2 linked regions of the Ovis aries genome follow. The protein of the gene in region 2 purifies or fractionates together with the protein of the main gene of each other region. This does not show direct contact. Links are inferred from orthologs where the notes say so. Each region holds a gene or a part of one and is shown on either strand. Other genes may lie near its edges.

What was found.
Region 1: the proteins of PTPRU (region 2) and GOLIM4 purify together in Homo sapiens (affinity purification with mass spectrometry; 3 studies listed by BioGRID and IntAct, counting the BioPlex papers as one, with this or other methods). This does not show direct contact. The link is inferred for Ovis aries from reciprocal best matches to the Homo sapiens genes PTPRU and GOLIM4.

Annotation. Positions count from the first base shown.
Region 1 is NC_056054.1:220,061,921-220,065,734, forward strand, and holds part of GOLIM4 (Golgi integral membrane protein 4), read left to right. Parts: intron 1-2,715; coding exon 2,716-3,045; intron 3,046-3,814. UniProt on the Homo sapiens protein: Plays a role in endosome to Golgi protein trafficking; mediates protein transport along the late endosome-bypass pathway from the early endosome to the Golgi.
Region 2 is NC_056055.1:237,986,853-237,990,666, forward strand, and holds part of PTPRU (receptor-type tyrosine-protein phosphatase U), read right to left. Parts: intron 3,046-3,814; coding exon 3,009-3,045; intron 2,392-3,008; coding exon 2,099-2,391; intron 1,286-2,098; coding exon 1,131-1,285; intron 1-1,130.

The sequences.
Region 1 (3,814 bases), on a different chromosome or scaffold from region 2:
ACTGGTTCTATTCTCCATCCAAGTTCAACTGGATTGATCTTTTAATGACTCTGACTTTTTTTAGTTTTTCTATCAAGGAAATGGAGGTAATAGTTATTTGCCCTAACCTTTCTCACAGGGATGTTGTGGAAATAAATGACAGGTATTTGAAAGCACTTATAATCCTTCAGAGAAATATTTCCTATAAAGCCAGCCAGTGTGCTTGCTAAGTTGCCTCAGTCATGTCTGACCCTTTGCAACCCCATGGACTGTACCCTGCCAAGCTCCTCTGTGCATGGAATTCTCCGGGCAAGAATACTGGAGTGGGTTGCCATTTCCTTCTCCAGGGGATCTTCCCAACCCAGGGATCAAACCTGTATCTCTTGATTCTCCTGCATTGGCAGGCAGGTTCTTTACCACTATAAAGCCGGTTCAGTTCAGTTGCTCAGTCGTGTCCGACTCTTTGCGACCCCATGGACTGCAGCATGCCAGGCTTCCCTGTCCATCACCAACTCCTGGAGCTTACTCAAACTCATGTTCATTGAGTTGGTGATGCCCTCTAACCATCTCATCCTGTGTTGTCCCCTTCTTCTCCCACCTTCAGTCTTTCCCAGCATCAGGGTCTTTTCCAGTGAGTTAGTTCTTCACATCAGTGGGCCAAAGTATTGGAGTTTCAGCTTCAGCATTAGTCTTTCCAATGAATATTCAGGACTGATTTTCCTTTAGGATGGACTGGTTGGATCTCCTTGTAGTCCAAGGGACTCTCAAAAGTTTTCTCCGACACCACAGTTCAAAAGCGTCAGTTGTTCGGCGCTCAGCTTTCTTTATAGTCCAACTCTCACATCCGTACATGACTGCTGGAAAAATCATAGCTTTGACTAGACAGACCTTTGTTGGCAAAGTAATGTCTCTGCTTTTGAATATGCTGTCTAGCTTGATGATAACTTTTCGTCCAAGGAGCAAGGGTCTTTTAATTTTATGGCTGCAGTCACCATCTGCAATGATTTTGAAGCCCCCCAAAATAAAGTCTGTCACTTTTTCCATTGTTTCCCCATCTATTTGCCATGAAGTGATGGGACCAGATGCCATGATCTTAGTTTTCTGAATGTTGAGCTTTAAGCCAACTTTGTCCACTCTCCTCTTTCACTTTCATCAAGAGGCTCTTTAGTTCTTTGCTTTCTGCCATAAGTGTGATGTCATCTGCACATCTGAGGTTATTGATATTTCTCCCAGCAATCTTGATTCCAGCTTGTGCTTCATCCAGTCCAGCATTTCTCATGATGAACTCTGCATATAAGTTAAATAAGCAGGGTGACAATATACAGCCTTGACATACTCCTTTTCCTATTTGGAACCAGTCTGTTGTTCCATGTCCAGTTCTAACTGTTGCTTCTTGACCTTCCTACAGGTTTCTCAAGAGGCAGGTCAGGTGGTCTGGTATTCCCATCTCTTTAAGAATTTTCCATACTTTGTTGTGATCCACATAGTCAAAGGCTTTGGCATAGTCAGTAAAGCAGAAATAGACGTTTTTCTGAAACACTGTCGCTTTTTCAGTGATCCAGCAGATGTTGGCAATTTGATCTCTGGTTCGTCTGCCTTTTCTAAAACCGGCTTCAACATCTGAAAGTTCACAGTTCCCATACTGGTGAAGCCTGGCTTGGAGAATTTTGAGTATTACTTTGCTAGCCTGACTATAAAGCCAGGGCAGTATCAATTCACACTTGCCAGGTATGCAAGGACTTGATAAAATGTGTACCTCCAAAAGCTGTCCTCAAGTGTCTGAGAAAAGACTTTTTCCCTTGGTTTGTTTATTTATACACTCCAGTTTCTCAGTTATGTTTCTGCTAATTTAAGAAGAGAGCTTCACATTTATTTCAATTATGGGACAGTCTGACCAAACAAAATATTTTTTCTGATAAAAATCAGGAGGATTTGGCAGGAGGAAGAGCAGTGACACATTTTCCTATTGATGTTGTATTTACTTTCTTTTGCCCCTTTTTTCTGAGTAATGAAGACCATATAGAAATCTCTGACACTTTCAGAGAAAACTGATTTAAGTTCACCAATTTTAGAAGAGGAGTTCTCTGTAGAAAAGACATATCTTTTTTTTTTTTCTTCAGAGTTTTCTGTATTAATAATATAAAATATTCACAGACTTCCTCTGGTGCACAAAGAAATATTACTTTTAATACATTAAAAATGTTTTATTGTACCTGAGTTAATGGACACTATTTTAGCTAACATGAATGTCCATTAGTAATGGCATTCTTTTTTATATTAGGTAACAAAAAACAAACCTAACTCATCCTCAATTTGATCTTATCCTTTTCTTTTCAAATAATTATTGAAGAGAAAATTTACATAAAAGAAAATTGCATAAGTATTCAGTCACTTGAAGTATGAGGATTTTCCCTTTTTATTCTGAGAGAACAGGAGTTAGATTACTTTTGAGGGCAGAGTCTACTGAGATGTGGTCATTTACAGGCTTTACTTTTAGGTTACTTACAGTATGCTTCCCGTGATGAAATTTTGCTTATGTTATCTCTATTTTATAGGTGAGATTACACAGTGAGAAGAGTTAAGTGACTCCATTGCAGCCATACTTTTCAGTCAGGACTCTATTTCTAGACTCCAGGATTTTGCTTATGTTGTAACCCTATAGACATGGTAATAAAGAAATTCTGTCACTACTTTCGAACTAGAGGAGTGTCATTTCCAGTGATGTGCTTGACCTAGGTGTCTCGAAATAGTGAAGTGTGGCAGAACCATGAAGCAGCCCCTGGAAGAACAGAGGAAGCAAAACCTTACCCTTCCACCCAGAAGGAGGCAGAATTTCAGGCTCCCGCGGAACTGACCCGGCAAGAAGCGGGACCCGGGGAGCCGCAGGAGCGACAGGTGGAGGAGGAGCACAGGCGGGCGCTGGAGGAGGAGGCCATGGAGCAGGTCGGGCGGCCCGAGCGCCTCGAGGAGGAGCACGACCCGTCACCCGAGGAGCAGGATCGGGAGTGGGCGGAGCAGCGCGAACGAGAGGAAGCCAGACGCGCGGCAGGGGAGGCTCGCGCTGAGGTATGCGGTTACCCAGCCAGTCGGCGGGTCGGGGTTGTGCCTTTGTCGCTACATAGTGTCGACCCATGAACAAGGAGAGTTTGAACCTTGCAGGACCACTTCTGTAAGGATTTTTCTAGTAAACACTAGAAAATCTGTGTTTGGTCGAATCTGAACATGGGAAACTGAGACAGAAGGGCCCCCACAGGGAGGCTGTGGAGGATCCCTACATACAGAGGGCTGACTAAAAGTTATATGAAGATTCTCACTGTGCTGAGGGTCCATGCCCCTAATGCCTACATTGTTCAAGGGTCAACTGTATCAAGGAAAAAGCCCATGTGTAACAATCTCTAAAATAAAATGAGGATGATTTCACTAAATCTTCTATGTACTTATTCTGTTGTGATATTAGTAGCATAGCTACCTTACCCCAGAAAGGTGATTGGGGAAAAGAGAAGGTGCTGTAGGTGTTTATTTGTCAAGAATGCACTGTAGGGCGGGGATAGGAGGGAGGCTCAACAGGGAGGGGATATGTGTATATTAAAACTGACTCAAGTTGTTGTACAGCAGAAATCAAAACATTGTAAAGCAATTATCCTCCAATTAAAAATTTTTTAAAAAGGAAGAGAAAAGAGTGCACAGTAAGGGAGACTTGGGCACATCCCTTTAACAGACTAGGAAACTAGATGGTCACCTCATCCTGCACTTTCTCAGCCTGTGCTCAAGGCCCGTGGGCATCTTGATGCCAAGAAGTGACTCATTTTCTGTGATCAAGGGTACTTGTCTCCCT
Region 2 (3,814 bases):
AATCTGGGTGGACTCTTACCAAAACCCCCTTCCCTGCTCCGTGGTCACTGTTTATAGGGCTATCTCCCTACCTCACAGTGAGCTCCTTGAGAGCTAGATGGGGCCAAACCCATCTCTGGAACCCTCCATTTAGCACCAGGTAGAGCAGAGTTGAGAGGAGAGGGGAGGACAGAAATGACACCAAGATCTCAAGCTTGAAAATGGTGAGAGCGACGGGTTAGCCAGGACACACAGCCAGTGGGTATCCCATGTGCCACTGATAGGGACTGGAATTCGTGAAACCACTTTGGAAAACTGCCCACAGTATCCAGTAAGGCTGAACATTCACAGAGCAATTCCACTCCTACATACTTACCTCCCAGAAATGCGAGTGTGTGTGTCAGCCAAAAGACACGTAAGAGAATGTCCTTAGCAGCACTGTTGATAACAGCTCAAAGCTGGAAACCACCCAAATGCCTCCCCACAGCAGAATGGATAAGCACACGGCGGTTTGTTCACGCTGTGGAGTCGGGTACAATATGGATGAACCTTACAAGCATAAGGCTGAGAGAAAGTCAGACTCCAAGGAGCACCTGATGTGTGATTCCACTGATACAAAGTTCAAAAGCATGCATAATGACTCTCAGGCTTAGAAGTCAGGAGAGCGATCACTCTGGAAGGGAGGAGGTGGGGTACAGGCCACAAGGGTCTCAGGCTTAGAAGTCAGGAGAGCGATCACTCTGGAAGGGAGGAGGTGGGGTACAGGCCACAAGGGTCTCAGGCTTAGAAGTCAGGAGAGTGATCACTCTGGAAGGGAAGAGGTGGGGTACAGGCCACAAGGGAGCTCCAGGGACTTCTGGGTTCTGTTAATGCTCTGTTTCTTGATCTGAGTAGTGCTGAGTCCTTCACAGTGAAATTGGGGAAATTCCTAAAGCTTACTTATTATTACAATAGCCCATAATAATAAGCTACACTTAGTGTGCACACGATGGTGCCAATCCCAGAGCCGAAGCTCAAAGGGCGAAAGGCGTCAGGAGGTCATTCTCCCCGTCCTCTGCCTCTGAGCAGGATGGACTCGGGCCCAGTCTCCTTCAGGAACCTCAAACAACCCCATCCCCACCCCCTTCTCCCTGGGCTCCCCAGCACCCCACCTGCAGTGGATGACCACAGGCCCAGCGTCAGGGGGCGTGGAGGCCTTCACACGCCGGATGAAGGCCAGCAGCCCCGTGGCGTGGTAGGGGACACCGTGCTCCGGCCAGGCCGTGAAGTGGAACTGGCGGACCTCGTGGCGGGCAGAGTAGCCTCTCTGGGGAGACAAAAGAAGTGACAGTCAGAGCCCCTGCCAGCGTCTACCAGACACCTGCAGTGTGCCAGGCACGGGAGTGAGCATCTCACCGCAGGAACTCAGTTCACCCCAATGAGACTCACGAGGTGGGTATTAATGACTCATTGTACAAGCAAGAAACCTAAGCCTCAAAGACGAGAAACCGCCTGCCCGAAGCCAAGACACACATTAGGCAGGGGTTGGGCTGGGATCTGCCTGGTGCCACATCTGTACTGTAAGTCACCCATTTCCGCCACCTGCTACACAGCTGCCCTCAGAGATCATTTTGATGCTCCCAGTCTTAGTTCAAAGGGAGAAAACTATCTTTCCTCTGAGGATTTTATAGACAGTCAAATAGGACTGTGCCATCCCTCACCTGGGGCCTTTCATGAGTGAGGTAACCATTCTTGAGCCTCACTTTCCCTATCTGTAAAATGGGTCTAATAGCAAAGGCCTAACCCACAGACTGAAGGAGGGCCGAAACAATATGTGTAATGGGCTGAGCACAGCGCCTGGCACAGAGCAGGATCGGCACCTGGCAGTTATCCTCAAGGTCCTCATCGTTCTCTACATTCACACCATCCTCATCATCTTGACTTCCTCTTGCAGTCACCAGTCAAGACGGCCACCTTTCCATCTTTTCACAGTGCCCCCTGTGAGGCGCTGTGGCTGCCCTGCTCGGGATGCAGAGTGCCACCCCCACCCTCCACTCCTGGGCTGGGAGGGGCTGGGGGTGTGCCCTGCCCCACCTTCTCAGGCACCCTGGGAGGGGCCTGGTGACCACAGGAGACTCACCCGCTCCAGGGCAAAGCTGCGCACAACATACTCGGCTAGAGTCTCCGTCTTCACCAGCGTGATCTTGATGTCCCCGTACATGTCGGAGTCCTCCGGCCAGTATCGCGAGCATTTCACCTGGAGGCCCCAAGGGGCAGGCTCAGTGGGCTCACTGCCCCCGGCCTGCCACGCCCCCTCCCCCAGGGCCCCACTTACCCTGCCCACCTCCACCAGTTTGGTGATCATGACGATGCTGGAACAGTGTTCCTGCCATACCATGCGCCAGAAGTCGTAGACCATTTCAGGCTTTGGCCCTGGGGAGCAGAGAGGGCTTGTCTCTAAGGCCAGGTCTCCACCCAGGCCCAGCACACCGCTGCCCCACACCACCGATGCAGGCCAGGAGGATCCTGAGCCCCAGTGGGGGCTTCATGCTCACCCCCACACACCCCCATCAACTGCCGACTCATGCCTGTTGGGTCCTTGGGGTGGTCATTGTGAGGGAGAGCCTGCCTGGAGACCCCGGTCATCCTGAGCAGAACCCAGGAGGAAGAGCTGGAGGGCCATGGCACAAGCCTCCAGGAGGGATGGACAGACAGACAGTGGAGAGGATAAGATACAGCCCAAGGGACCCAGACAGCCCCCAGACCAAGAGACACAGTCCACACCCATGAGGACCGAGGCTGGCTGACCCTTTTGCATGCAGACAGACAGGTGGACCAGGAGCTACACTCAGACAGCAGACATCGGGAGATACAAACACAAAGAGAGAACAGATATGGATGTCCAGATTCCAGAAGATCCAGACAGACAGACAGATAGAAGGTAGACAGGGAGGCAGGCAGATCAGCCGGGAAGGCAGGAAGGCAGGCAGAGGGCACTCAGCACACTGGGGCAGGGGGGTGAGGGAAACATGGGAAGAGGTGCCAGGTACCTTGAGTGGCTATGAAGTGATTTGACCTGTGGTAACCCTGGAACAGGAGAAGAGGGGGTGTTAAGACCTCGAGGATTGGCCCCTCACTTGCTCAGGCCCCTCTGCCCTCCTCTCCCAGAAGCTGCACACACAGGCCCCACTCAGGGAAGGGCCCCACCCTCTTGACCTGTCTTTTGCCCATCCCCCAAGGAAGGAAGGAAGTAGAGCCTGAACACCAGGGTCATGGGTTTAAACCCATCTTTGCTACGTAACCCAAGGGAAGACACGACTCCTTCATGGGCCTAGAGGGTCTCCCCTTTCATAATTGGGGATAATTGTCCATAATCTGCTTATAACCCAGCTGCTCTTTGGAGACAAATACATTGCAGGGTGACCCTACCCTGTTCCCAAAGCCCCAGAGACCCTAAGCAACCCCAGGCCCCAGGCTGGGTCTTGTCAGTTATCTCAGCCCTGCTCAGGGCAACCAGAATGGGCAATGTCCCTCCCCACGACCCGGTCACCCAGGGCTTGGGGTGGCCCAATGAAGGCTTCAGGTTAGGAGCAAGTGAGCACAGGAGTTGCTCATGGCCCTTAGACAAAATGTTTTTTAAAATCTTCAAAATCAATAATAATGATAATAGCGATAATAAATAACTTACATAGTTATTTATTAAAATAATAATAAATGTTTGAGGCCCTGTTATGGACACATACTGTGCTAAGCACTTTACCTGTATTATCTCCCACAAAAGAGGCCAAGAGCCACTTTCATCTTCCATCCCCAGAGCCCCCAGGCTGAGAAGTGGAACCAGCCAGACTCCACTCCC